Cricetulus griseus: one gene and its partners. The protein of the gene in region 6 interacts with the protein of the main gene of each other region in a biochemical or structural test. Links are inferred from orthologs where the notes say so. Each region holds a gene or a part of one and is shown on either strand. Other genes may lie near its edges.

Region 1 (4,690 bases), on a different chromosome or scaffold from region 6:
TCAAACTTACAGAGATCTGCCTGCCTCTGCCTTCCCAGTGTTGGGACTAAAAGCGAGTGCCACCACCACCCAGCTTATTTTCCATCCTTAAAAAAAATACGTTTATATATTCTCTCTCTCTCTCTCATCTATATACCTATCTGTCTATTGACCAATCAATTACATGTTTGTGGGTGTGTGTCTGCCCTATTTTACCATCTTAAGTGCTATGTAGGGGTGTTTTATCTATTAATCAGAATGACAATAAGACCACTCAGAGCACTTGCCACCAAGCTAGTTGACTTGAGTTTAACTCCCAGGATCTACACAGTGGAAAGAGAGAACACACTCTCAAAATTTGTTCTCTGACATACACATAAAATTATAAAAGTAAGAGAATATAAAGGGAAAACACAATACCCATGAGGCTTCAAACTCTGTCTCCCCACTATTAGGTGTGTAATCTTGGGTCACTTTAAGAGCTAAAATAATAAACGTTTATTCTCCCTACTTCTCAAAGTTAATAGTAAGTCTGGATAATGGAATACAGAACTATAAAAACCCTATACTGGGGGATTGTATAGCCACAGTGACCATAAAATGCTTCTAAGTAGATCTCTTAACAGAATTACTTTAGGAGCTGGAGAGATGGGTCACTGGTTAAGAACAAGAAGGGTTCAGAGCAGTTGGGCTCCCAGCACCCACAAGGTGATTCACAACCATTTGTAACTCCAGTTTCAGGGGATCTGTTGCTTTCTTCTGACCTGCCTGGTGTGCAGACATACATGTTGGCAAAACAGTCATACACATTTAAAAAAAAAAAGTCTTTACAAGAAAAGATAATTGTTTTACTTTTATGTTGCTCCTAAGGCTGGCCAGAGCAGGAGAGAGGTAGGGTGTGTGTGTGTGCGTGTGCGTGTGCGTGTGCGTGTGTGTGTGTGAGGCGGGGGCGGGGTGGGGATAGACTAAAAAAAATCCACAAGCGAAAAGGCACCCAAACTCGAATAGGCTTTAAAAACCGTGTTTCCAAAGCTAACTACTTCACAAGGAGCCTCTCTACACTCCACTGGCCCAGTTTCCACAAGTCTCAGCAGGAGCTTGGTTGGGCGGAGGTCCACACTGGCCAATAGAATCAGCTGTGTTCTTACAGGTCTCGCAGCAGGTGGAGAAACTGAGCAAGAAAAATTACTTAAACGTGGGCTCAGCCTTGCGCCGTGGTGTGGGGCGCCACAATTGGTCCCCCTCTACTAGCAGGACCGGAGAACAACGTTGGGGGCCGAATTTCTTAATCCTTTCGCCCAGCAATCTCGTTTCGTAGCACTTCCACTGCCCGCCGAAGTGTGCAGGGGGGTGGGGTAACCCCTGTGGTTGTCCTTTATTGTCTAGGGAGCACCTGTCAGGTGGCTGGCCTGTGCCTAAAGCGCGCGTGGCGCCAGGCTTCACAAAGCGCGGGCAGCACCTGCGTGGCCAGGAAGCCGCCTGGGGCAGGAGGACCACCGATGGAGGAAGAATGACGGGAGGAAGAGGATCCGGGATGGATGGCCTGTGGGTGCTCGAGGTCTCAGAGGACACAGCGCCCCCGGGATCAGCATATCCCGAGAGTCCCGGGCACCAGGCAGCGAGAGGGAGCGCGACCCGGGAGGGAGGAGGGAGGGGCGTGGCCGCGCACTGGGGGAGGGCTGGAGGAGGGGCTGTCGCGCGCCGCTAGTGGCTCTGGGGGCTCGGCTTTGCCGCGCTTGGTGCACTTGGGCGAGAGCTGTAGCAGAGAGAGGAGCTCAGAAACTAGCGCAGCCACCGCGATGAGAGGCGCTCGCGGCGCCTGGGATTTGCTCTGCGTCCTGTTTGTCCTGCTCCGTGGCCAGACAGGTGGGAGAGCGCGGCCGACTAGAGGATTGCACCCTCCACCCCGTGGGCACAATCCTGGGTCTGGGAGGGGTGTCACCAGGCGGGGTGCGTCCAGAGTGGTGGCTGTTGGCTTTTCCACTGCCTGTGTGTTACAGCCAGTGCGAAGGTGGCGGGCGGCCGCGGGACTCTGTTGGTCCGCCTCGCTCACCTGCGCCAGGAGCCGGCAGCGGCGGGCGGTGGAGACCCGGAGCCGAGAGTCTTCCGGGAGTCGGGACCGCGGGGCTGCAGGCTGCGGGCTAGTTTGGCGATGCTTTTGTGCGGACTGAGCACGGGTGGCAGTGGCTGGCGGCCTGGGGCTTCGCACCGAGAACGTCCTCTTCCCGTGCGAGGCGCGGCCGCGGCTTCCTTTTGTTAAAAGTTGCGTGTGGGTGACCTGCGCCCGCGAGGATGAGCCCGCGGGTCCCCGGACGCGCGCCGGGCAAAGTTGGAGAGCCTTTTTCTTTTTTTTGCTCTGCGGCCGCTGCTTCCCCACCGCGGGCGGTCTTTGTGTACAGTGCTGGGGACCCAACCGCAGTCGCTCTAGTCGTGCGCAGCGCTACCCGCGGAGACGAATCTCGGGCGTGCTTGTACCCCCTCCCCCTATTTTTTTTTTGCACGGGGGACACGCGGCGCGCGGCTCTGGGGCGGGACCCCGCGAGCCTGTATGTGGCGGCTACGGGGACAACTTGAGCCAGGCGTGTGGCGAGCAGCCGCTAGGTTGCAGACTTTTTCCTTTTGTAAATCTCGTGCTAAAGGCTCGCCCCTCTCTGCAGCCGCACGGTGTACATTGCTGCCACGCGCCGGGGAGCTGCTGCAGCCTACGTTAGCCGCCAGCTCCTGGGAAGGAGGGACCTCGTGCGGGGACGCAGCTGTTCCTTGCCGCCTCGTGCGCACAGTATGAGGGACCAGGCAGCCCGCCCTAGCTTTGGAAACCCCTGGTCTCAGTGTATGAGACTTGTAGTCGCAGGTGGCCGTTTTCTTTGGGAATCCCGAGATCTAGACTCCCCCTCTCACATGATAACCATTCTCTGGCCTCATGGGGTGGGATGGGGCAGAAGAGGTGAACTTCCTGCAAATCCCATTTGTTTCTTCAAGCTGTTACGAAAACCATGGTACCTCTGCACGGGAACTTGGGTCTCAAGGTGGAGGATGTGTAGTCTCCTGGAGCTCCTTAGCCCTGCCCCTTTTTGCCAGGTGTCGCTGGTGGGCTGCCTGTGCGGGTCGCCTGGCTCTGGTCATGAATCTTTGGTCTTTTCCAGGTCGTTTTCAAAACAAAACCCAGAAACCCTTTAAGGTTACCTTGATGCTATAGGCTAGAGAGAATCTGCGCTCTGGAATGAAGCGTCCAAAGGCCAGCAGCGCTGTCTGACCTGTTTGGAGCCCGCTGCTGGCTATGTTTCCCAGATCTCACTCTCCCGATGCTTTTGAAAGGCCCGGGAGGGCTCTGTGTGTGCGTGGTGTGTGTGTGTGTGTGTGTGTGTGTGTGTGTGTGTGTGTGTGTGTGTGTGTGTGTGTGTGTGTGTGTGTGTGTGTGTGTGTGTGTGGTGTGTGTGTGTGTGTGTGTGTGTGTGTGTGTGTGTGTGTGTGTGTTGTGTGTATGTGTGTGTGTTTACATCTAGACCCCTGCCCCAGAGGAGGGGTCACCAGGGAACGCAAATGAGTGTCCAGATTCCTAGGCGTATTTGACTGCTTAGCTGAAAATGACCCCAGCGATCTTTGTGTTTTCCACCTTGTCCTGCTTTAGACCAAGATGGAACACCAGGAAGATCATAGTTCCCCCTTAAAACCTGAAACGTACCAATGGTTTGTATCTTCCTCCTGATTAGTGTGCTCTGACCAATAACTTTGGCAAAGAGAATCTGAAGGTCTGTTGCCTGGCAGGCAGTGTGTCCTAATGACAAACCCTTGTTCTGCCCCACCAGTTTCAGGTCCCCTTTTCATACCTACAGCCTCCTTGGTTATGTGCCCTTGGGCGGGTCATTTAAATTAGGAGGGGTTGGTGCCTTCAGTTTTCCGTGTGTGTGTGTGTGTGTGTGTGTGTGTGTGTGTGTGTGTGTGTGTGTACTGTTCTGGCTTAGCAGGAAGCAGTTTTGTGTTTGTTTACGTTGTGATCTCTTTGGAGGGCTAGCAAGTGCCTGCTCTGTAGTAACCCCTCCTTCTTCCTGGGCATTTGCAGCTTTTACAGCTCAACAGGATGGTCCTGAAACAGTGAATCAGATCTTCCCCCCTTTCCTGCAGGTGCAAGACCCTAGTCATTTATGCACCTGGTCTTGGCTTATGATCCTACTGGAAATAATCTGATAGTTCTGTAATAAAGAGATCTCAGATAATTCACTTTCCCCACCCATCCGTGGATTTCTTTTTTCTTATGACGTTTTAAATCATGCATGCCGTGCTTTTGCAACACGCTTTCTAATGTGCCTTAAATATCGTATCATGGGTGTGCTTTGTGCATACGTGGGGCTTTATAATCAGCAAATGTCTGCCAGACCTCATGCTGAGGGCTTTCCCTGCTGTTTCCCTACTCAGGGAGCCCAGGAGGTTGGACCACTACAGCCTCTACTATTTTCCTATTGGAGACAAGTCACTTGCCCAAAATAATCAGTGAAGAAGCCTGAGCTCAGCTCCATATGCCCACTGTGTATCCATTTATACAACTTGCCAGAGTCTGACATAAAGTAAGATGCATACAAAAATATTTAATGAGTACTTACTATAAGCCCAGCCCTGTTCTGAGCCTTCGGGGCTACAAGACAGCTGATTTTGGTATAAGGGCTTTAGGCTACCTGTCTTGGAACATTTGGATTAATCTTTTCGATTTAAGTGG
Region 2 (3,959 bases), on a different chromosome or scaffold from region 6:
CCTAGTGGGAAAGTCACTTGTAGTGTTTGTCTTCTTTCCTTCAGTAAATGGGGTGAGGGGCTTCACTAAAGTTGTTTAACAGCATCATTGCTATACAACATGTGACTTAACTTCATGGTTGCTACACAGCATGTGATTTACCTGCATAGTTGCTATGCAGCATGAAATTGGGGTAAAGAGTGAAGCATGAAGTCCTTACCTCTTTTCCTCGAAGTCCAGTCCCCAGCAAGTATACTTGACTTTCCTCCTGGTAACGGATCTGAATGTTGTAAACTTTGTCTTTGTACAATACCATGAGGACATATGGGTTGCTTACTGTTTTCTTAGAACTATCTCTTACCAGGAAAGTACCATCCTAGAAGAATGGATGCTTGTTGTTAATGGGAGCAGCAAAAGTCAATCCTTTTGTTGCTGTTAAGAGACAAGCCTATGGGGCAGACAAAGCTATCACTTGTAAATTGACACTGAGTTCTCCTCAGAGCTGGGGACCCCAGGTACTCTGGGTCTTTTGATTTCTAAGGAAGACAACTGGGATTGCATCTGAAATTTGCAAGTTAACATCTTTGGAGCTTTTTGTTGCTTTTGGTTCTGGTTTTAGTGACAGGGCTTCTCTTTGTAACCTTGGCTGTCCTGGAACTCACTCTGTAGACCAGGTTGGCCTTGAACTCATAGAGATTCACCTGCCTCTGACTCCTGAGTGCTGGGATTAAAGGCATGTGCCATCACCGCCCTGCTTTTGAAGATTCTTACTATACATTTTTTAAGTAATAAAAACAATCAGTCGGTGAGTAATGCGCCACAAGAAGTAAGGAGGCTTACTTACCATATACCTGCTCACTTCTGTTAGTTTTCTAAACTTGCCTTTCTACACCCTCATTATTTGCCTGTGAAGTGCACTGCCCTTTGTCCCACACACTTGCTGTGTTTAGCTTTTACCCATCTCACACCTGAACAAAAGTGAATGTGGACTTTGTATATTCTTGTCACCTCTTTCCCCTTTACTTTCTAAAATGTGATTTGCTCTGTATTTTACATTTCATACAAGAGTTATTTCAATGTAATAAAACATGACAAAGATCTAATAGTAAAATAGAGCTAATTAGAAAGACCAATGTAAATCACTCCCTCCTCTATGTACTTAACTAGAATGGGTTTTAAATGGCCATCAATATGCAATAGCACTGTTCCTTTGTTCCTTTTGCTCATAGTTAATTGAGCCATTGAGAACATAGCTGATAAAGGAACTTCCCTCTGGACCAGTGAGTCACAGGTTTGGCTTGAATTCAGGATCACCTGCGGAGCCTGAAGACTCCCTCTCAGCCCACCCCACACTTATTAACACAATCGCCTCAAAACTCAGGAACCCAAATTTAAAACAAAACAAAACAAAACAAAAACAAAAAACTACCCCAGATGACCAAATCGGCTGCTGAGGCTGGAAATGGTTGCTGTAGCGTTAACAATGTAAAGGCTAAAGGGTTGTTGTTCTCTCATCTCTGACCCAGGAACTCAGGGTTAAGGGTTAGTACTGGAACATGAGTAAGACTTTATAACATTAAGACTAACTAGAAATTTCTAGAAGACTTTGCAGATATGCTTTCATCATGGGTCTTTCTCATGATCTTGAATGGCAAACAAGTGTTAAGAGGAAGATAAATTAGTAAGATGTCTGAAATGATACACGATTCCTTTGACAAAAAAATAGAGACACACTCATTAATGAAACTGCCTAATATCTGCCAACTGACGGATAGTGATGGCTTGGAGGAAACATTCTATGGATGCTAGCGGGTAGGATGGTAGCACTAATGGCTCTTAAAGGAACAGCACCTAGCAGCGGGAACAGCAGCTAGTTCATACTTGAGTGCCAGTGCATAGCAATACCCTCCCCTTCCTCCACTAACATGTATAACTGCATAAACATAAAGCATAGAATGATACCTGGTTTATCTTTCTAAGAGCAGCTTCTGCCTCTGGTCGGGTGATATAAGAGACATACCACTCTTCATCTAATGGAATCTGCAAATAAATTTTAAAAGCACTGTGAGTTCTATAGTTACATAAGCAAAGTGAAAAGAAACAAAAAGGAAAAAAATACTATTTCCCATAAATCACCACCTCAATTCTCGAGACTTAGAACATTTGTTTTCTTGACTTGAGTCCTTTAGATGGGGCTGCATGGAAAACATTTTGTGCAAAGTGCTTCCTTAGCATGCCACTGACTGCAAAAGCAGCTGTGAAGGAAGGAGCCTCCCTTATGTAATGGAGACTTTGATCTAGAAAGACAGAGATAGACGAACTCTCCAGCTTATTATATAGTAGTAACATAATCAATGAAAAATCTGTTTTAGTGGAGCAACTATGAGACTTATTCATTCAAGGCTATAAGCCAGGAAACATGAAAAACTGGGCTTATTTTTTTATCATTTCTTAATGCCCCTGGAAGACGGTGAGAGAACACTAAAGAGAACATTAGTTTTCATTTACATCTTCCCCTCAGTTTTTGGTTTATTGTGTGTGGTGCTGTGGATCCAGGGCAGGGCTTCACCCAATGCTAGGCAAGGATTTGACCACTGAGCTATACAGCTGCCCTCTTAATTAAATGGCAATAAAGCTCTAACAGAAGGCACAAATAGAGCAGAGCAGCTTAGGAGAGTTTCTTATCGTCCCTTTGCTAGGGAGAAAAGCAAACAAAATTAGAAACAGCTGTATTACCTCTTCTTCTTCAGGAGATGGAGGCTGTGGCCTGTTTGGAACTGGCATGGATAAGTTTCTGCCTTCATTTCTGAGAGGTGGTCTATTGCTGAGACCTTTCAAAGCAAAATATTTTGAAAATTAATTTAGTGTCGGCCACTGTTTTCTCATCTCATAGCACATCCATCACAGATACCCCCATGACAGTAGGGGCATTCATTTTTCAAGATTATGAGGTTGGAGGGAGCCTGCATGGGACTGACCTAGGCCCTCTGCATATATGTTACAGTTAGGTAGGTTGACCCTCTTGTGTGACTCCTAACAGCAGGAGTAGGGATTGTCTCTGACTCTTTTACTGACTTTTAGAACCCTATTTCCTCATACTAGTTTTTCTTGCCCAACCTTAACACATGGGGAGATGCTTACTGCAACTTGATATGCCATGTTTTGTTGATATCCAGTGGGAGACCTGTCCTTTCCTAAACAGAAATAGATGAGGAGTGAGTGGACTGGGGGAGGTGGGAACAGAAGGAGAGGATGGGGGAAGGACTGGGAGGAAAGAAGGAAAGGGAAACTGCCCCCAGGATGTAAGATTAATTAATTAAAAAAGAATATGAGGTTGGAAAAATAATTTCTACTTCTCTCATAATATGAGGGCTGTTTGGGCCATGTTCCATACCATGCTGGAGAAACTTTGAGAAAAGACCCTGACATTTCAGTGAACCCCTAAACATGCACACAACATAACGAGGGCCCATTTATAAAAATAACCACATTGTTTGACTGTGTGCCTCAATATGAACATGCCAAAAGCAGACCTTTCGTAGATGCCTGCCATCACGGCACACATGGAATGCCTCACCAACAGCTCTCACATTGGCAGCAGAGAAGAGCTAATTATGTGCTCAGTGTCTTCACAGAAAGAAAGGGAAGGGCTTGAGAACAGTGTTACTTTAGAGCCAGTGTTTGCTGTGGTCTTTCTGTTTGTTTTCATTTTACAATTCCCCAAGATGTAGAACTGTTGGACTAGAAGGCACCATAAACTGATCATTTGCTTTAAAATCATCCCAGTGCAGTCCTGTCTCACAGACCTTTGCTAGAACATGGACCAATAGCATCAATGTCCTGTAGGAACTTGCTAGAAATGCCATCTCAGGTGACACCCAGCCCTCCTGAATTAGATCCACTTGAACATGATTGCCAGGCATCTGTATGTACATTGAATGTTGAGAACATTCACAGTGGACACTCAGTGGCAGCATCAT
Region 3 (3,959 bases), on a different chromosome or scaffold from region 6:
GCTTGTATGGCAAAGGACGTTTACCTACTGAGCCATCTCGTGTCTTTTTTATAGCTTAGAGGGGTTTGACCCTTTTTTAGCAGTTAAAAATAAGGCCTCTGGCAATCAAAACCATTAACTACTTAGCTAACCCTACTACTCTGTAAGATTCTGTTTCTAGTTCTTTGCTCTGTTAACATGATTTACCGGAAGTTAGGAAACATAGTTAATTAAAGTGATGTCAGGAAATGGACAGGCTATTGTTACTGCTATCTCTACTAGGTAGGTGACCCAACAGGTGACACATTGAGATCCTAGCAGCAAAAGGGAACCTGGTTCAAGTCCCTGTCCTTGCTTTTTTCCATTGCACATTCCTTTGCCAATGATAAATTTGAGACAGGAAAAGAAATCAGCTGATCATATTTTACAATCAGTGTTTTGTTTTGTTTTGTTTTTGTTTTTCTAAAGCCACTGCTTTAGGAGGCACCAAAGGTATCAATACATTAAAGTTCAAAGCCATATATGGGTAAAACATGTGGGCATTTTTTGTTTGTTTGTTTTGCTTTGATTTTGTTTTTTTCAAGAAAGGGTTTCTCTGTGTAGCTTTGGAGCCTGTCCTGCAACTCACTCTGTAGATCAGGCTGTCATCACAGCCACAGAAATCCTCTTGCCTCTGCCTCCTGAATGCTGGGATTAAAGGCGTACGCCACCAACACCTCGCAATATCTGGGCGCTTTTGAGACTGAGTCTTTGATCTCTTTTGAAACTGAAAATAATAGTTTTAATCATTGTTTACCTGAGACTTTAATACTGTTCCTTTTCCTTTTCAGATCCCAATTTTGTTCGGACATTTCTTACAACATACAGATCCTTTTGCAAACCTCAAGAACTACTGAATCTTATAATAGAACGGTCTGTCCATTTTATATGTCTGAATTCTTTGATTTGGAAAGGATTAAGTTACATATTTCCTAAAAATGTTGCAATAAGTGTAACTGTAGTTGAGTTTAAGATAAAACTACTACTGGGTTTACAAAACCATGCTAATTTTGATTATTTAAATAGATTTCTCTCTCTCTCTTTTTTTTCTCATTTATTTAGTATTTAAAATTACAACTTTTCAGGGTTTGGGCTACACTGGGATTGAGCCATGGGCTTTTGGTTCAATCTAAGCAGTATTCCCAGCTCAAATTTAAAGAACTAAATAATATATAAATATGTATGATTTAGACTCTAGGCTAAACATAAGCCTATAATCCAAGAATTTGGGAGGTAGAGGCAACAGAATCAGAGTTCATGGTTATCTTTGACTCTACATAGGGAGTGCAAGGCTACCCTGAACTACGTGAAACCACACCTTTAAAATAATGACACACTAGAAATTCAGATTTTAATGCTTCACAAGTTCTAAACAAATTTTCAAATATACTACATATTGAATAAAAATGAATCTTGTCAGTGAGCAAATGCTTTTATCAAGGAAAATGTTTTTCATCTATCCAAAGGGCAATCAAGTTTCAAGCACTAGTTACCCTTAGAGTAATCTACAGACTAAAAATTAACATTAGTCCCATTTGTTTTAGACTTTATATGTGTTGTTATTTTGCTTCTAGTTAGTTTTAACTCTGTTGGCAATATTAACTTCTTTTTAAAAAAATGTAATCAGCCTTTACATTATAAAAGCCTTGTATATCTGTAGTAATTTTTATAGTAGTCTCTTGATTATACTGATAAGTATAAATAAAAGTTTGTGAATCTGAATTTGATACAATATTTTCATTAATTTTTTTTTTTTCTGTTTCATGGTAGATTTGAAATTCCGGAGCCTGAGCCAACAGAAGCTGATCGAATAGCTCTAGAAAATGGAGATCAGCCACTGAGTGCAGAGCTGAAGAGGTTTAGAAAGGAGTACATTCAGCCTGTCCAGCTGCGGTGAGTAGTGAGGGCGTGGCCTCATAGAAACCACAGCTTCTCAATGTGCATTTAAAGTCCTAAGTCAGGTGAAGGAGGCAGACCAAGTGGGTTAGTTAAGAGTCTTCTCTGAGTTATCAGCTTTAGTAGATTGTTTATTGGTAAGGGCTGCTCTTGTTTCATGTGTACACTCAGTGTAAGACCCCATGTAATCCAGTTGTGTTAATGCCACAGAGTGTTAAATGTGTGTCGGCACTGGGTGGAGCACCATTTTTATGACTTTGAAAGAGATGCAGACCTTTTACAAAGAATGGAGGAATTTATTGGAACTGTAAGAGGTATGTTTCTAATTTCCTACTTGCATATGTGATAAAATTACCAATATGATTACCCTCAATTGATACATTATAGCTCATTTGAAAATGTTAAACTTTCTCATCAAACATCACTTTGGCTGGGTATGGTGGTGCACACCTTTGATCCCAGCACTGAGGAGGCAGAGGCAGGTGGATCTCTGTGTGTTTCAGGACAGCCAGGACTACAGTAGTGATACTAGGTCTGAAAAAACAAAACAATAACAAAAAACCATTATTGAGACTTGTAAATTGCTCAGCAGTGATCCTGCTGACTCAGTATACTTTGTATCTGTTTTAGAACTGGGTCTTTTAGGTGTCAGTTTAAGCTAGACCACTTAATTGAAACTATGTGCTACCTACAGTAGATGGTGGAATGTTTTTTAACCATTGTAGCACCACTGATAAAGGTATATGATTAGGTAAATGGAACAAGTAGCATATTACACTGACAGACTACTACTACCTACCATCACTACTAGCCAGATACATAATTTTGGTTCTTTAGACTTCAGTTTATTCATAAGAAATTAGGGTTGATTATCACAAAGTTTCCTTTACTTTAAAAATTCTGTGACTGTGTGACTTTAAGGGTGCCCTAGACAAACTTGGTTTTATAGCCATTGTTCAGTCTAAAGGAAAATCAGAAAATAAAGGATTAAATAGATTACTTTCCTGTACAGTACAAAAGACAGCCACATCAAATAAGACTAATATGATCGATCAGTCCTCATAAATGGGTTATAAAATACAATATTAATTAGACTTGTGAATGTGTGTAATTTATTAATCTTTGTATGGAATATACCTTGTATGGAAGAATTATAAAAAATAGTATTTTGAACTAAGGTTCAAAGTGTTGGAGGTGAAAAATCAAATTACCTTTTACATTCATTTAGGAAAGGTCTAGATACATGCCAAATTATTAACAATGGTTACCTATCTGGAGAAGGATGAGAAGATGGGGGAGGGGAACTCTTAGTATTTACTTTGCACATTTGACTTTATAGCAATGATTTATTCGTGTATCACTTGTATTACTTTAAACATATTTAAAAATAAAGTATTAAAGAGTATTTAAATGTTTGTTAAAATGTATTTCAGGTAAAGCAATGAAAAAATGGGTCGAATCCATCACTAAGATAATCCAAAGGAAAAAAATTGCAAGAGACAATGGCCCAGGTCCTAATATTACATTTCAGAGCTCACCTCCCACAGTTGAGTGGCACATAAGCAGACCTGGGCACATAGAGACTTTTGACTTGCTCACCTTACACCCAATAGAAATTGCTCGGCAACTCACTTTGCTTGAATCAGATCTATACCGGTATGTTGTTCAACATTCAAGCTGAGAAGTTATTTCAAGAGTTCATCTTAAAAATGGAAGACATTTTCTGCCTTTTAGGGTTGTCTTGAGATGTCAATGAGACAGTAATATGATATATTTGTAGCACTAAGGCAAGCAAGCAGTTCTGGTCCATTTGCCCCCTTGATCACCCTTGATCTACTTAACTTTGTGCTCTTTCTGCAGTTAGCCCTGCTTGGTAAGCTCAAATCATAGTAGTACCAGTTGTTGGCTTAAGTTTCCTGAAAGAAAAGTGAGGCCAAAGTCTGTACTAACTTGTAGGACTGTGAGGTTTCCAGTGCATGCCCAAGGAATAGCACAGGCTGAGCACAACACAGGACACAGAACTACTGCTGTCGTTTCCCCACAGT
Region 4 (3,959 bases), on a different chromosome or scaffold from region 6:
GCCTCCTCTGGGTGCTAAGTACTCGGGGTTTTCCACAGCACCCCCAAAGGCAAAAGCGTCTTTGACAACCCCATTCTTCCCAGGAGAGAGAGTCTTGGGTCTTTCTAGAGTAGCACCAGAAGGCCGCACAGGAGGCAGAGGGCCCTCGGGGGCCAAGGGAGGCTGAGGCCGCACCTCTGGCTGGTTCACATATTCTGCAGGAGAGAAGAAGAACTGTTAGGGAAAGGAAACGGGATTTCCCTGCCCCACCATTACCTCTCAGTGGGTGTAGCCTGAGGGGTCTCAACTCCCCTCCTCCCAGTCTCTCAGGCCTGGATTCCATACCGGGCTGGGGGCTGCAGGCCAGGGGAGCAACGTAGCCGTCAGTCTCGGTGGGCGGGGGTAACGTGGGATCCTCGCTGTACCGCTGTAGAGGGCTGAGGTCATGTGGAGAGATGCTCTGCGGCCCTTTGCTAACCCCCATTCCCAGTTCACCATCAAACACATCGGAGCCAGCCCCTTCCGAGGGAGCCAGTGGAGACCTGGGGGGCTCTTCTTCTGAGGGCTCCAGGCCCAGTGTCAGCTCGCCTCCTCCACTCTGGAGTAAGAGAGGGTCATGATGGAAGTTACTCAAAGATCTGGGAGGGGACCTTGGGGGGGAAATGACAGGGTCCCAGGAGGAAAAACACAGGTCACCTTGGAATCATTATGGAGGCAATGGAGTCCCAAGGGTTGGAAGGCAGTAATGGTAATGGGATCTTAAGGAAGTGTGAATGTGGGGGAGCAGTCAAGGGAAGGGACCCTGGTGTTCTAAGATGGGCACTGACCCTGGTGGATGAGCTGCGGTGCCTCCGGTGGGCTGTGCTCCCGGTGCCTGGGGCAGGGTCTGGGCAGAAGAACCCCTGCTGGGGGACCAGATACTCTTCCGCATCCACCAGGTCCCCCATGTCCTCATCCTCCAGCAGTGAACGGTAAAAGGTACTGTCCAAGGGGCTGGACGGGCCCAAGTCCTCATTCTAGGGAGGAAGGAGACACAAAGTGACAGCCCTTCCCCAGCCTAGCGTTAGTTCCCAAGAAAGGTTCACCAAGCTTAGACTAAAGGTGGGGGCTGGCTGGGCTGGGGGACTTGGCATCCAGGTGTGCCCTCCCTCTCCTGTCTGCAGGAGGGAGGACACTGTTAGGGTAGGGATGAGGTCAGAAGGCCCAGTACCTGGATGACCACAAAGCGCTGGGGGTCCCTCGCCATGCGGGAGAATTCTGACACCAACTCCCGGAATCTCGGGCGACATTCAGAATCTATCATCCAACCTACGGTGAGAGAGAGCTCAGCATCCTTGTCCCAGGACCAGGCTCAGGACCAGCTGTGCAGCCCCTTCCTGCTCCTCTTCAGTCTGGCCTAGACAACCCTGGCTGAGCCCAAAGTCCTCACATAGCAGAGGAGCACAAGTGGACCCTGGATCCTGAGCCAGAGCCCTGGAGCATTTTTCCTAGTTTCCCCTTTAAGCTGGCCTCTCTCCTCTAGACAGCCGTTGTCCCGAGCAGCTAGGACATCTACTGTGAATGGGATGAAGCACCTTTCGAGGTTCCTTCAAGGACACCCGAGGCCATTCACATCTCACTCCCGCCCCCCCCACACACAGGTCAGACCACCCTTCCGCTACACCTGAGGTTCGGCCCCTCCCACCACGCACATTTGACCATAATCATGTAGACATCGATAGTGCAGATTGGAGGCTGAGGCAAGCGTTCTCCCTTCTCCAGCAAGTCAGGTATCTCCCGGGCTGGGATCCCATCATAAGGTTTGGCCCCAAAAGTCATCAGCTCCCACACAGTCACACCTAAGACAGACAGGCATCAGGAGTTGGGGGAACAGGATCCTTAGATGCGCATACAAGGGGAGAGGCTGTGCCAAAAGGTAGCATCGGCCTGGTCGCTTCATACTCCAGGTGGGCACAGACCCCCACAGGCTGGACATCAGCCACCCCCCATCTCCACCCTCATTTCTGTACCCATATCCCACCCTGCCATGGCTTCTATCCAGCCCTCCCCATCACCATCTCCACACACCATAGCTCCACACGTCACTCTGATGGGTGAACCGCCGTCGAAGAATGGATTCCAATGCCATCCATTTGATGGGCACCTGGGAACGCAGAGCAAAAAATCCTGAATGGGTGTGGTAGGGAGGTGACCCTTCTCAAAGCTCTCCCAATGGGCGGATACCACCCCACCCACCTCACCCCAACCCCGCCCTCCTCCAACCTTGCCCCCATCTGCATGGTACTCTGTCTCATCAATGTCCAGCAGCCGTGCCAGCCCGAAGTCTGTAATCTTGACGTGGTTGGGACTCTTGACCAGCACATTCCGGGCAGCCAGGTCCCTGTGCACGAGCCGTACATCCTCCAGGTAGCTCATCCCCTGAAAAATGGGCATCAGTGTGGAACCTGAGTCTGTATCTCACCTTATCGGCATTCCCCATCCTTTTCTGGCCCCAAATGAGGGTAGGGACTTGCACCCAAAGGACCTGCAGAGTCAGAAGCCCCCAAGCACATACCTTGGCAATCTGAACACACCAGTTGAGCAGGTCCTGGGAGCCCAGGCGACCTCGATGTTCTCGGACATGGTCCAGAAGGCAGCCATAGGGCATGAGCTGTGTTACCAGCTGCACTGTGGATGTCAGGCAGATGCCCAGGAGGCGGGACACATACGGAGAACCCACACCAGCCATCACATATGCTTCCTGCAGGCAAGCATACACTGAGGGATACAGGAAACCACCTACTCCCTCCCACCCACCATACTCCCCTCCTGGAGACCCGCCCCCATCCCTGCAGGGCCTGCAGACCAGGAAGAGTAAGAATCAAGGTTTAGGACCTCCATCCCAAACCCTCATCAAGAGAAGGCAGCCCAGGTCTACAGCTAGGGGGCGTCTCACAAGTCCCAGTGGAGAAGGTGACCGGCTTACATCTAGGATTTCTTTGTTAGCTTTAGGGGATGTGTTTTCCCTCAACACCTTGATGGCCACGGGGATTTTCACATTCTCCCCATCTGGGATCCAGATGCCCTGAGCAGAAAGAAATGGGCTTGAATCAGGCCTGTGGTCCAGATCCTGCTGGTCCCCAAGAAGTCACTGATGAGCAGCCTTCCCCACCCTCCAGCCTGGTCCAGTCCTCTGTCTTGACCATGCTCCTCAGGCACAGCCCCTCCTCCAGATCCACTCATGCCAGAGCCTGGTCCCTCCTGACCTTGTAGACAGTGCCGAAAGCTCCGGACCCAAGCACCTTCACCTTCCTTAGCTCAGTCTCTTTTAGGATCCGCATCTGAGCCTGGTTGGGCATGGCTCCGCTGGGCGTCAGCGGCTCCACTAGCTGGAGTGAGAGGGTGGCGTGGTGAGTGCCAAGCAAGCTACAGATGGGGGGTGCGGCGCTAGGAGGCCCTCACGGCACCTCACCTCAGTTTCCTGCAGCAGCCTACGCATTGTATACTTTCGGATCTTCTGCCGTCTTCTCTTGATTAGGATTCCAACAACCACCCCTATGACCAGGAACAACAGGATACCCACCACGGTTGCGATGATGGACGTCGCTGGGCTGAAAGCAGAGCCCAGAATCAGAGATTAGGACTAGTCTCGGGAGGAAATTTGAAGAGACCCCATGAAGGGACAGGAATGTGCCTTGGCTCAAAAATATCATGGGAAGTCGGGCAAGGTGGCACATGCCTTTTATCCCAGCACTGGGACGCAGAGGCAGGCAGATCTCTGTGAGTTCAAGGCCAGCCTGGTCTACAGAGTGAGTTCCAGGACAGCCAAGACTACACAGAGAAACCTTATCTCGAAAAACAAAACAAAAAATTTCATGGGAGAAAATTCAACAGAGACTTCGTTAATCTGTACTGTGCCCACCCCAGGGATTCTGCCACACTTGAAATGGGGTCCAGGAATGTGCACCCCAAGACTCTCAGGTACTAGTCAGAGCTTTCTC
Region 5 (3,959 bases), on a different chromosome or scaffold from region 6:
CACAGAATGAACCCATGTGCCAGCTCAGGAGCCAGCTGAGTGAGTGTCAGCATGCTGAAGGCAAAAGAGCACTAGAGCCTTGCCCAACTCTCTGATCAGCATGGACACTCCATGCTTTTGCCCCTGCATTGCCCTGTGCCGCAGACTCCCTGCCCCTGTGTGGTCTAGCTGATGTGCTCTAGGCTGGACTGTTGGACTCTGTGCAGGTCAATTGTACTATGTACAGACAGCCTCCAAGGAAGAAACATAACTAACATTCCCTCAAATCTACGTGGGTGCTGTTCTGGGCAGGAACAGTAGAGCTAGAGCACAGCTTCATACCTGGCTCTCATTAGCCAGCTCTGGGTGCTTTAGCCCTGCTCTCCTTGCCTCATGCAGCAGCCCTATTGCTCTAAGCAAGGCTGCCATGGCCTTCTTAGGCCTCTGGTCCAGGCTCCACCCTTTCTTACTGTCTTTTGAAACCTCAATCTACTCCCTTTCTTTGTGTGGCTAGACTTTCCCTGGAGTGATGCCCCAAGACTGGTCAGTGTACCAGTGAACGTGTCTGTATTGACCCCACAGAAAACCCTAGGGAGGGCCATCACACCAGCCCCCGCTTCCTGTTCTACCCCCTGCAGTCTCAGAGGTCTGACCCCAAGTTGTACAGGGCCTCTGAGGAGGGCCCCAGAGTGGAGCTAACTGGTGGCTTTGTGGCTCACCCTGCTGCTGCATTGTCCCCAGGGCCCCTACGCTTTGTGATCATCCACAAGCGCTGCATCTACTACTTCAAGACCAGCACATCTGCCTCTCCGCAGGGTGCCTTCTCCCTGAGTGGCTACAACCGGTGAGTGTCCATCCTGTCTGCTGACCAACCCCATGCCAATTGCTTTTCCTCTCACCCTAGAACACACGGTCCATCCCTTGCTTTCCTGAGATGGTTTTAATCTGCTTGCTGGCTGTCCCCTCATATTCTGGCCTTTCCTAAGGGAAGGGGGTGGGATAATATGTGTGAGGTGAAGCCTTTATTAGGGCTTCTAGACTAATGGGCAGGTATAACCTGAGTTAATGCCTACATATTGGACTGTTGGTCATCCTGATTTTATCCTGTGGCCTTGGAGGCTGTAGGGGCCTAGGTTCTATGCCCTGTAGCATTAGTCTGAGCCTTTCACCACCCCATAAAGGACCCAGCCCTTCTACTTATTCTAAAGTTGCTCTGGGCCCCTGCTTCACCCTGACTATAGCCTTGATGAGACAGCCTTGCCAAAGTAGCCAGACCAGGTCCCTAGTCCAGTCCTAGGCACTAGCTAATCAAAACTCTCCCTAGTCACTTTTCCCAGACTGGTGTGCCAGCCAAGCCATGAACTTAGCCCACTGACAGATGTGACTGGGCCCTAAGGATTGTCCAACCCATTTGATGGACTAGGCCTGAGAGGCCCTGGCTAAGACCTGTGATAGGCCAGGCAGGTACCCTGTCCAAATGCCCAGCCAGCAGGACTCACCCAGGTAGACTGATGTCTGAGAAAGCGTTGTATCGGGAATCAGGCCACAGAGCAGAGAGGCAGTCCAGGAGCTGCATGGGACAGAGTGGGGGAGTAGTATCTCTATGAAATAACACTGAGGAGCAATGAGAGTAATGGGGCCATGTCTCTGAGTTCTGCACACTGCTCTCCTGGGAGGTCTGCACAGACCCTGCACTCATACTCTGCTGTTCCCCTGAAGCATCTAGATAATCTACTGAGAGCATGAGCAGGCAGAGACTGTCCAGATTTGTCGATATTCCCCAGGGCATGATGCTGAGTGCTGAAGTCAATTCATGGGTGGGGTTGATGATCCAATTTCTTGAGAGTGGACAAGCTGGTGACTTTTGGCACTGTGACTTCAGAGTTATGCGGGCAGCCGAGGAGACGACATCCAACAATGTCTTCCCATTCAAGATCATTCACATCAGCAAGAAGCACCGCACGTGGTTCTTCTCAGCCTCCTCTGAGGATGAACGCAAGGTGATCAGCAGGTAGCAGGGCCTCAGGAGCCTGGCAGAACCTGCCTGAAGGGGCGCATTGATCACCAGGATCTGGCCTCCCGTCGCCTCCAGGCTGGAGGCTAGGACCTGGAGGAGAAAGACCTGGTTGGTGTATGGGCATCTGGGTGGATTAGACCCACAGCCTGGTGCCTGTACACACCATGAGACTGTCCCAGCAGGGTATAGCCTGGAAAGGGCTGAGGGGCAGCTTGCAATCTGAGGGGGTGATTTCAACTCTGAGCCACACAGTCTAGGCTGGACCTAGCTAGGTTCCCCTCCCTGGACCTTGGTGGTTACTGCATAGCAGGGAGACCGTGGTCAGAGGAAGGTGAAGTGGGACCCTATTCTGGGCAGCATCATATTTACTATGGCTGTTCCTGAACCACAGAGCTGGATGGCCTTGCTACGCAAGGAAATTGGCCACTTCCATGAGAAGAAGGAGCTACCTCTAGACACCAGGTATGCCAAGGCATGTGATGGGTGAATGGTAGTCCCTAGGGCTTCTTGATTCCTAGGGCTCCCTTCCAGTCCCTGGAGGAGCTTGGCTATAATGACTTCCATAAAGGCTTTTGTGGAGGTACCAGGTAAACTTCATGTATGTGGAAGCATATACTGCTTACATGATCATGCATATGTGTGCTTGCAACATCTTTATTCTTGTCAGTCTTATAGCTCTGACTGTGTGTCATTCTGCTGTACTTATTTGTAACTCTTGTTTGGGGCTCATGTGCTTTTCCCCTCCCCTACTATGGAGGCCCAGCACTTACAGCTCAGGGCTTTCGATTCCCAACTCCCTGTGTCTACTTTGTCCCTTGGGAGCTCAGTCATTCCTGGTCTCTGCATTCTCACTTGTGAGATGATCCAGCAAACAGCAGGGGCACTTTCACTATCATAGTGAAACTGTGATCTAGAGAGGGCTGGGAACCCCCAAGGGTGCCCTGAGGCTCTGGACTGAATTGAGAGCACCTGGCTATTGGTCTAGCCTAGCATCTTGCAATATCTCAGTCCAGGGTTGACTGCGCCTCACTGGACAGGAGGCAGACATGTAGACCCAGCTCTGAGGCATCTAGCCAGTAAGGGCTACAAAAAAACACAGTCAGGCAGAGAGGTGGTACCCATAGATGGTCCCAAGCCTCCAGTCCCTATGTCTGTCCTTCCTTGAACCACGCATATGTCCAACTGTCTTTCTTTATGACATTTTTCTTCTTTTGTCTATATACATGTGTGAGGGGTTGTCCTTGTATCTGTATGTGTTCATATCTCTGTGTGCCCATGGGTCCCCAAGTGGATGTTGACATCTGTGGTGTGGGGAGTGTGTGTGCATGGGTCACTTCCTACATGCAAGGGCACCACTGGTCTAGTGCTCATTGCCTGTTCCCTGCTCTGGGTTTCAGTGACTCTAGCTCAGACACAGACAGCTTCTACGGTGCAGTTGAGCGACCTGTAGATATCAGCCTCTCTCCATACCCCACTGACAATGAAGGTAAGACCTTCTCTGCACCTGCCATATATCCACTTGACTGCTGACAGTGAACCCACTTGGGCTGCCTAGAAGGAGAGAAATGTATGTTTAGCTTTGCTTGTATGTCCTCTGACAGAGTGATGTGGCTTCTCTGCCTCTGACCTCCACCAGTGTGAGTTCAGGTTTCAAATCCTTCCTCCTCGTCTTCAACCCCGTCTCCCGAGTGCCCTGTTCCCAAAGCACAGTGGGTCATGCCATCCGTTTCTGCATGGAGCCGCCCTGGGCTATGTTGTGTCTCATCTTCCATTCATTACATGTAGACTATGAACATGAAGATGACGACGACTCATACTTGGAGCCTGATTCCCCGGGACCTATGAAGCTTGAGGGTAGGTAGGGTAGCTGGGTCTGGGAGTTTCTTGGTGGGTAGGGACTGGGGACTGGGACCAAGAACAGAGCTTCCTCTATGCTGGTGATTCTTTTTGTTTGTTTGGTTTT
Region 6 (3,959 bases):
CACACTGAACCCTAAGCTCCATCAATATTCCTGTCACTGTCTTCCTGTCTCAGCAATGGCAACTTTACTTTCCAGTTGCTCAAGTCAAAAATCCTGACTTCATTCTTCTCTCAGACGTTTGAAAATCAAAGGACTAGAAAAACTTTTTAATATAATTTTAAACAATATAGCCCAAGTCCAACTAATTCCTACCATTATTACCCCAATCTGAGCCCTCTCATCTTCCACCCAGAATTGTGGAACAGTGTCTTCACAGCTCTCCACTCAGCAGTCTGATCTTGAGTGTGCTGGCTAGTGTTATGTCAACTTGACACAAGCTAGAGTCATTGGGAGAGGAGGGAGCCTCAATTGAGAAAATACCTCCATAAGATCCAGCTATTGCAAGCCTGCAGGGCATTTTCTTAACTAGTGATACATGTGGGAAGGCCAAGCCCACTGTGAGTGAGTAGGGGGCACCCCAGGCAGGTGGTCCTGGGTTCTGTAAAAAAGCAGGCTGAGGAAACCATGGGGAGCAAGCCAGTAAGCAGCGCCCCTCTATGACCTCACATCAGTTCCTGTCTCTAGGTTCCTGCCGTTTTGAATTCCTGTCCTGACTTCCTTCAGTGATGAACAGTGATATGGAAATGTAAGCTGAACAAACCCTTTCGTCTCCAAGTTGAATCTGGCATGGTGTTTCATCATAGTAATAGTAACCCTACTGAGGACACTGAGCAAACTCGAAGCCAGAACAGGTCACTCTGTACCTCCCATGACTTCCTGACTCTAGGACTCTCAGAGAGCCTTGCAACAGTACAAGTTACATATGGAGCATGCCATTTGGTTTTTGCTTCCTCCAGCTCTTGGTCCTTCTGGCTGCACTGTCAGCCACCCTTCTAGGACCCAGAGTAGCAGTGTGCCCCACTCTAATGAACTACTTGTGTCAGAGCTGCTGGTCCCTTCAAGGTAGCTCAGTTCAAATGCACAATTGCTCTGGGTGCTTCTATCTACTGGCTGGGCACACACCTCCAATTTAGTACCTACCGATCCTCACGGTTCCGATCCACTGAATAGAACTGCTTCCGGAGCCACCTAGAGAGAAAGAAGCCTGAGGTGAGGGTCCCTTCTCCAACTAAGAGAAAGCCCGGGAAGCAGAGCAGTTACTGTGTGTGGAGAGGCCTCAAGTCTCTCCCTCCTTTCACCTGGTCCAAGACATCTGGTCTTTTAACCCATGAAGATGAGTCTCACCTCTCAATCTGCAGGGGTGTGGCTGCCTGCAGTGTGTCCTCCGTCAGCCAAGTTAAGCCCTTGATCCACATGTTCACTTCATCCTCAGATGTAGCTGTGAGCAGAGCAAAAGCTGAGCTAAGGGCACATCCTCCCACAAGAGCAAGGGCAGCCAGGCTTTCCCCTTACCCACACCCTGCCTCCTCTAATCCCATCTCCCACCTTGCAGGCTCAGGGTCTTCAGGCGGAATTCCATCCCATAGAGGATGACAAAGCAGTGTGACTGGTCTGGTCGGAAGGCAGGGTCTTCTTGGTAGCGGTCAAAGTCCCTCGATGTCTTCCCTGGGCGGATCTCCTTGATCTCACGGATATCAACTGGAAAGGTAGTAAAGGCCAAGGTCAGGCTGAGGTCCTCATAGCCAGCATCAAAGGTGTGCTTTTCTCAGTCATTTCCACACCCTCCTCCCTCGAGGACTGGGCCACAAAGAGACAGACTGAACCCACTCACATTATCCCAGGTGATAGGGAGAGCTGGGCTTATCTAATAGTAGGCCTTTGTTTTTTTTTTTTTTTTTTGTGTGTGTGTGTGTGTGTGTGTGTGTGTGTGTGTGTGTGTGTGTGTTAAAGGCAAGGCTAAGGCTCTTTGGGGACAGGGAGGTAAGTGTATGTGTAAGTGTATGTGTTATCCCTTCCCTATCTTTGTTCCATTGCTAGGAGTATAGGCTATAACCTGTACCTGGAGCAGAGCTGGACTCCACTCCAGAAGGAGAAACAGGGATCCAACCAAGGCAGTACCTTGTGAATCTCTTTCTAACACAATACACACACAGACCCAATTGTAAAGTCCCAGAGGCAAGGCTGGGCAAGTCTAGATTGGTCTCAGAATCGAAGACAGAACCTTGGATCAGGTCCAGAAAACTGGCAAATCCTGAAACGACCCACACCCCAGAGACATGCCCACACCAGTCTTAGCAAAGGCCTAGTTCTGGCTAAGGCCAAGGCTGTTCAAGAACACCAGGCATTCGGCACTCACAACTTGGTATCCTTATCTCAGCTACCAAAGCCTTCTCAACTGCTCCCCTGTTCTCACAAGTAAAGGTGAGGCAAGTACATGGGCCTGAGAGGTGAATGATCCTTCGGGCTACTAACTGGAGTGACAAGACAGAGCAACTGTAAGCTAGTGGCACATTTAATGCCTCCCATTTGCAGTCTCACCAACTAAAGAGGTAGGGGTCTGATTCGGTTTCTCAGGACAGTGGAATGGGAGGCTACATGGACTCAGGTTAACCGTGAGTCTTGGCAGAGAGACAACTGCCCGACATCCCCTGCTCCACTTCTGAAGGGTGGTAAGGACAACAGACCAAAATGATGCTGAAAGAGCAGAAGCTGAGTATGCCACATGGATGGAGAGGTTCCTCAGCCAGCACGTGCTCAGATGTGGACTCTGAGCCTTCGTAGATCTGGTCCTGCCACAGCTGCCCTGACTGAACACACCTAGACCATCCCTGAATGAGCCTGGAGCATGGACAGAAATAGATAGCCCAGGAAGAGAGATTCCCCTTAGCTTGGGAAGGTCTTAAAATGTTCTTACAGGGGCTGGAGAGATGGCTCAGCGGTTAAGAACACTGCCTGCTCTTCCAAAGGTCCTGAGTTTAATTTCTAGCAACCACATGATGGCTCACAACCATCTGTAATGAAATCTGGTGGCCTCTTCTGGCCTGCAGATACATATGCAGACATAATAAATAATAATAAATAAATAAATTTTTTTAAAAAAATGTTCTTACAGTCCTCCTTCCGACTAGATTCTAGTTCCAAACATCAGCATGGCTGGAACATTCCAAAGGCCCCAACCAACAGCTTGCAGTCTTTCTGTGCTGTCCCTTGAGCCAGCCACAGGAGCATCATGTGTGCCACCTGGAACAGTAACATCACTTCTGGCCCTATCCCCTGCTCTGCTACCACAACCAGCACTGGCTGTACCTGGATCCAGTACTGACTCCCCAGCAAAGCCCTCAGGTCTATCCTCCAGCAGAAAGCCCTGACTTTCCTTGTTGGTGGGCATAATTCTCACCAACTCCCCATTCTTCCTTACTCTTCTGAACCATAAACCATTGTTTGGATGCCTGGTCCTACAGGCCCATTCACTCCCCTCCTGAGGTATCACTGCTAACCCACCACGAACCCACTCCCTTCACAGCCTTTCAAGTTCTCATGATAGGGCTCAGAGCTTCTGGAGCTTTTTGTCTTGCCCTCTTCTGTGATCCTTCCAAACCAAGGCAGACCTACAGCAACAGCAACTCTTCCTACCCCATTTCATCCTGGAGCCTGGTTTGCAAGGTTCTCCGCCTGAGTTCTCTTCCACTGAAGATCCCATGAGAAGCTCCATCCTGCATTAACTGTCCTCTCAATGCCTCATACTGCTATGAAATGTGTGTTTCTCATACTCCATGGCAGGCAGAGCCCTTCCAGTACCCACTGAGTGACTGAGTGCAAAAATGAGAAAAATGCAGGCACATGGTTCAGTGAAGTAAAAAGGTATGGGGAATGCAGGAAGATGAGGCATTCTACTTGATTCTAGAACCAGAGTAGGGAGAGCTGTGTCACAAATCCACAACTTGAGAACAGTTTCTTTTTCTTTTTCTTTTTTCTTTTTTTTTTTTTTTTTGTTTTTGAGACAGGATTTCTCTGTGTAGCTTTGGAGCCTATCCGGGCACTCACTCTGGAGACCAGGCTGGCCACGAACTCACAGAGAT
Region 7 (3,959 bases), on a different chromosome or scaffold from region 6:
TGTGACCAGAACAGAGGGTGCTGGCATATATGGAGGGTGGGTCATGAGGTCAGGGCAGAAATGGAGGAAGGATGGAGGGGATAGTTGGGTGAGTGCTTTGTGGGCTTAGTACAGCTTTGGCTTCCATTGTGACTGAAATGAAGAGCCATGACAGGGACTTGAGCATAGAAATGACATGATAAAGACTTAATGCTTTGTCAATTAGCTTTCTAAAAATAAGTCTGTTTTGAAAGACAAAATTTAGCATCTCGTTGTAGATGGAAACTCAGTGTCATATGCCATAAATATAAAACAACCACTAAAATAAATTCAGAGAAAACAAAACAACGCTGTCAAAGTCTAGCCTTATGAACCTGGCTGCCCAGGACCCTGGGCTCCAGGCCTCTTCTCTCTTTGTTAAGGGAAAAGACAGTCTCAGAGTGATGTTAAAGACAGGCTCTGAGCCCTGCCCTTCGAAGTACTGAGAGGAACCTGTCATTTTTCACACTGTGACTCCTGGTGTCTGATGCTCCCCTGTAGTCCCTTGCCTAGGGGTTGGGGAGTGGGGGGACTCTGGAACATGTTCCCCTGAGGTCTTTTCCTACCACCCCACTTCCTTGCCCTGTACTCTGTTCAGTCCCTGTCCGTGTGCTGGAGCTGAGTGAGAGCCACCCTGCCAATGGGGAGCAGACAATCCGCTGTCGTGGTCGGGGCATGCCTCAGCCAAATGTCACGTGGTCTACTTGCCGAGACCTCAAAAGGTGAGCACACCTGAGCTCCAGCCTCCCAGAGTACCCACAGCTGCCTAGAATGACCCAGTGTAGGCTAACCTAGATCAACCTCTCCCCGCTGAGAGGCCCAGGCCACATCTTAGATCAGTCCTCTGCCTTCCTGAAGATACCATGCATAACCTAAATTGCTCCTTTTCTTACCCTGACCCTGAGCCATCCTCAACCCAGGAAGGTGCAGGGTTTGGCCCCCAGAGGGGTCTAATTCATCCAGTAGTTGTTCTATATCTCTGACCAGAGTTGAGTGTAGTAGATAGAGTTCAGGGTTTGCCTGACACACTGAGGGTCAAATGAGTGAATTTTGCCATTGAGGAGTCTCAGTTCTGGAGTAGGAGCTCCCCCTGCTGGTCCTTCTAGACAACACAGTAGGAACCTACTTAAGGACCAAGCAGTCATAGAAATTAAGACTTAGTTTCCCCAAATGCAGAGGGAGAACTAAGCGAGACTGTACGCCAATCTCCTTGTGTCTCCTGGCAGGTGTCCACGAAAGCTGTCACCCACACCCTTGGGGAACAGTTCCAAGGAGGAGAACCAGCTAGAGACTAATGTGACTTTCTGGGAAGAAGAACAGGAATATGAGGTGGTGAGCACACTGCGCCTGCGTCATGTGGATCAGCCATTGTCAGTACGCTGTATGCTGCAGAACTCAATGGGCAGAGATTCGCAGGAGGTCACCGTGGTACCACATTGTGAGTGCCCCAGCCTTGGGTGGCTCTGATGACCTCTCACTCCTTCCTTGATCCTGCTTTACCGTGCCTGCATGCCCAAAATGGATCAAGTGAGCATGCTCACAAGCCTATAGTAACATTACAAAACCCACCAGAGTATGTCCTTATGCACATACACAATATATGATGTGGACACCAGTGCACAAACATGAAAAGCATTGACTCAAGTGTGGAAAATGAACTGTTATGCATGATGCATGCTGTAAACTCTGAACATGAGTAGGCTGATCTTGGGACTCGGGTGTACACTCTTCATGTGCACATGCAATCTGTGCTGAGGATGCCTAATCCCCTGAGTACACTCGTGTTAGCATGTGCTCAAGCATGCACAACGCTGTCCATGTATATAAAACTGCAGGATATATTTTTGTGAGCTGTGTGTATAAGCCTGCCCAAACCCAAGACTTGCATGTAAATCTACAAAATGAATGTCTGTATGCATGTACAGGTGGGGAGCACAAACCCCCTACATGTGCATAAATCATGCATGCACAGTTCCTGTGCAAATGTGAACATTGGCATGGTTCATATTTGTACTCACACAATTGCAACATATAAAAACAAAAAAGCACTGAGCACAACTCTGTACACATACGCCTCCAGACAATGTACAAACATTAGCAGCTGCACATATATGTACAGTTATTGTGCAACATATGAACAGTGCTTGCCAGAGTCCAGATGTGTGTACATATCTCCCACTTACCCATGCCTTCACATGTATGCATGCTTCATCATCCACCTATTTCCTATTCAGTAAGTTATGGGGACCCAAACTCACTAGGGTACAGAGGCCAGTGGGTCAGTCCAGAGGGAGGAGGCAGACGAGGAGTGAGCCAGCCTACACTGGAACACTACTTCCAGGGAGCAGCCCTGAGACAGAAGGAGCCCTGTGCTAACCTTGGGATTGAGGAAATATCCCAGGAAAAAGAAGTTTTACATCAAATACCGAAAGATGACCAGGTGTTAGCCTGTGAAGGCATGGTGTCGCAGCCAAGGAGGCCTGTGCCAAAGCCTAGAGGTGGAGTGGGTTCTGAGAAGTTCAAGGAAACCAAACTGTCTGGAAGCAAACTATGTGGATTTGGGGCGGGGTGGGGGAGTAATAGGGAAGGAAGTGGTAAGGAGTGGGGCTATAGGATACAGAAGTCAGAGAAATCAGAGCTTCAAAAGACATTTTGTACATACACAGACACACACACACACACACACACACACACACACACACTCATACACACAGGCTGCCCCACACAGCCTTGTACATGTTTGTCTATGTACATACCTGTCACCTGCCCTTAGAAGATGAGTGAGCTTTTTAAATATCCTTACTGGGGCTGGAGAGACGCCTCAGAGCTTAAGTGAGCTTGCTTCTCTTCCAAAGGACCTGCGTTCCATTCCCAGCACCCATGTCAGGGGGCTCACGATCACCTGTAGCTCCAAATCCCATGGATTTAATGCTTTCTTCTGTCTTCCATCAGCATCCACACATGGCATTCAGGAATACAGTTGCACACATAAACACATACATAAAAATAAAATAAATATCTAAAATAAAATGCCCTCATTTCTCCCACACTCTCTTATAGGCACACATATCCCTGAGCAAGTGGGCACAACAAAATGTGCACAGCCTGCCATATAGAGACCCATTCTGGGCCTGAGTAAAGGCAGAATGAAAGTCATTGTGTGACATCTGGTCAGGACACCATGTACTATTACACAGAGACCTGGGATGACTCTGATGGGTCCCTGGAGGGTGCAGGCTCCCTTTGCAAGACCAGGATGTGGGGGCTGTTGTGAAGAGAGGACAAAGATGTCAGTCAGTGACCCTAAGAAGGAAAGAATGTGGAGTAAGCCAGAGGAAGACTCCCTGGGGAACAGAGGAGGGCAGGAAGAGGACATAGGAGGAAGACGAAAGTTCCCAGAAGACAGCAGCTATTGCTAATCGGGGAAGGACAGGGGCTGGGGCTTCATCCAGACTGACTGGGTAGCAGGGAGGCTGGAGCCTTGGGCCAGAGAAGACTCAGGGCTCAGGGAGCCCAGGGAGACCTGCATGTTCACCTCAGTGCCCTGGGCAGTGCCCTCTATGACTGCCCCACCAGACACACCAGCTGGTCCTCAAGGTCAGGCTGGAGGAACAGAAGCCTTTCTGATGTGGATTCATTAGGCCACTGAAGATCAGAGTCAGCTCCTTTGGGCAGCCACCCAGTGAGTGCCTCGGCCATTTTGTTAGACATGGCACTTAAATCTATGACCCAGGCATAACAGCCCAACAGGGCTTGGAAGAGAGGAGGGCATGGCCTGGTCCTCAGGGTGCTGAATGCTGTGAGAGGCACGGGCAATGCTCAGGAACAAGAAGAGGGTTTTCATAGCCTGGCAGGATGATGCAGAGGCCAGCCTGAGCCCAGCTGAGATCTGAGCAGGGAGTCATTGAGAGGCTCTGGGGCTTGCCGGTAAGGCCAGAGTG

Evidence for each region.
Region 1: the proteins of Plcg1 (region 6) and Kit form a complex in vitro, tested with the Homo sapiens proteins (3 studies listed by BioGRID and IntAct, with this or other methods). The link is inferred for Cricetulus griseus from reciprocal best matches to the Homo sapiens genes PLCG1 and KIT.
Region 2: the proteins of Plcg1 (region 6) and Lcp2 form a complex in vitro, tested with the Homo sapiens proteins (2 studies listed by BioGRID). The link is inferred for Cricetulus griseus from reciprocal best matches to the Homo sapiens genes PLCG1 and LCP2.
Region 3: the proteins of Plcg1 (region 6) and Sos1 form a complex in vitro, tested with the Homo sapiens proteins (2 studies listed by BioGRID and IntAct, with this or other methods). The link is inferred for Cricetulus griseus from reciprocal best matches to the Homo sapiens genes PLCG1 and SOS1.
Region 4: the proteins of Plcg1 (region 6) and Erbb2 form a complex in vitro, tested with the Homo sapiens proteins (2 studies listed by BioGRID and IntAct, with this or other methods). The link is inferred for Cricetulus griseus from reciprocal best matches to the Homo sapiens genes PLCG1 and ERBB2.
Region 5: the proteins of Plcg1 (region 6) and Sh3bp2 form a complex in vitro, tested with the Homo sapiens proteins (2 studies listed by BioGRID, with this or other methods). The link is inferred for Cricetulus griseus from reciprocal best matches to the Homo sapiens genes PLCG1 and SH3BP2.
Region 7: the proteins of Plcg1 (region 6) and Pdgfrb form a complex in vitro, tested with the Homo sapiens proteins (3 studies listed by BioGRID and IntAct, with this or other methods). The link is inferred for Cricetulus griseus from reciprocal best matches to the Homo sapiens genes PLCG1 and PDGFRB.

What each region holds. Positions count from the first base shown.
Region 1 is NW_023276807.1:142,062,392-142,067,081, forward strand, and holds the start of Kit (mast/stem cell growth factor receptor Kit), read left to right. Parts: upstream 1-1,694; 5' UTR 1,695-1,778; coding exon 1,779-1,845; intron 1,846-4,690. UniProt on the Homo sapiens protein: Tyrosine-protein kinase that acts as a cell-surface receptor for the cytokine KITLG/SCF and plays an essential role in the regulation of cell survival and proliferation, hematopoiesis, stem cell maintenance, gametogenesis, mast cell development, migration and function, and in melanogenesis.
Region 2 is NC_048600.1:49,261,952-49,265,910, reverse strand, and holds part of Lcp2 (lymphocyte cytosolic protein 2), read right to left. Parts: intron 2,811-3,959; coding exon 2,716-2,810; intron 2,020-2,715; coding exon 1,942-2,019; intron 356-1,941; coding exon 200-355; intron 1-199. UniProt on the Homo sapiens protein: Adapter protein primarily involved in signaling pathways within T-cells, as well as other immune cells such as platelets, mast cells, and natural killer (NK) cells.
Region 3 is NC_048600.1:3,663,202-3,667,160, forward strand, and holds part of Sos1 (son of sevenless homolog 1), read left to right. Parts: intron 1-809; coding exon 810-891; intron 892-1,788; coding exon 1,789-1,911; intron 1,912-2,124; coding exon 2,125-2,228; intron 2,229-3,347; coding exon 3,348-3,570; intron 3,571-3,959.
Region 4 is NC_048600.1:111,557,199-111,561,157, reverse strand, and holds part of Erbb2 (receptor tyrosine-protein kinase erbB-2), read right to left. Parts: intron 3,570-3,959; coding exon 3,431-3,569; intron 3,348-3,430; coding exon 3,225-3,347; intron 3,044-3,224; coding exon 2,945-3,043; intron 2,720-2,944; coding exon 2,534-2,719; intron 2,398-2,533; coding exon 2,242-2,397; intron 2,123-2,241; coding exon 2,047-2,122; intron 1,818-2,046; coding exon 1,671-1,817; intron 1,288-1,670; coding exon 1,190-1,287; intron 996-1,189; coding exon 807-995; intron 578-806; coding exon 325-577; intron 195-324; coding exon 1-194. UniProt on the Homo sapiens protein: Protein tyrosine kinase that is part of several cell surface receptor complexes, but that apparently needs a coreceptor for ligand binding. Essential component of a neuregulin-receptor complex, although neuregulins do not interact with it alone.
Region 5 is NW_023276807.1:103,544,000-103,547,958, forward strand, and holds part of Sh3bp2 (SH3 domain-binding protein 2), read left to right. Parts: intron 1-720; coding exon 721-823; intron 824-1,763; coding exon of another isoform or gene 1,764-1,861; coding exon 1,862-1,979; intron 1,980-2,387; coding exon 2,388-2,458; intron 2,459-3,393; coding exon 3,394-3,482; intron 3,483-3,781; coding exon 3,782-3,850; intron 3,851-3,959. UniProt on the Homo sapiens protein: Binds differentially to the SH3 domains of certain proteins of signal transduction pathways. Binds to phosphatidylinositols; linking the hemopoietic tyrosine kinase fes to the cytoplasmic membrane in a phosphorylation dependent mechanism.
Region 6 is NC_048599.1:18,762,848-18,766,806, forward strand, and holds part of Plcg1 (1-phosphatidylinositol 4,5-bisphosphate phosphodiesterase gamma-1), read right to left. Parts: intron 1,579-3,959; coding exon 1,426-1,578; intron 1,319-1,425; coding exon 1,225-1,318; intron 1,069-1,224; coding exon 1,021-1,068; intron 1-1,020. UniProt on the Homo sapiens protein: Mediates the production of the second messenger molecules diacylglycerol (DAG) and inositol 1,4,5-trisphosphate (IP3). Plays an important role in the regulation of intracellular signaling cascades.
Region 7 is NC_048595.1:178,032,983-178,036,941, reverse strand, and holds part of Pdgfrb (platelet-derived growth factor receptor beta), read left to right. Parts: intron 1-616; coding exon 617-740; intron 741-1,244; coding exon 1,245-1,456; intron 1,457-3,959. UniProt on the Homo sapiens protein: Tyrosine-protein kinase that acts as a cell-surface receptor for homodimeric PDGFB and PDGFD and for heterodimers formed by PDGFA and PDGFB, and plays an essential role in the regulation of embryonic development, cell proliferation, survival, differentiation, chemotaxis and migration.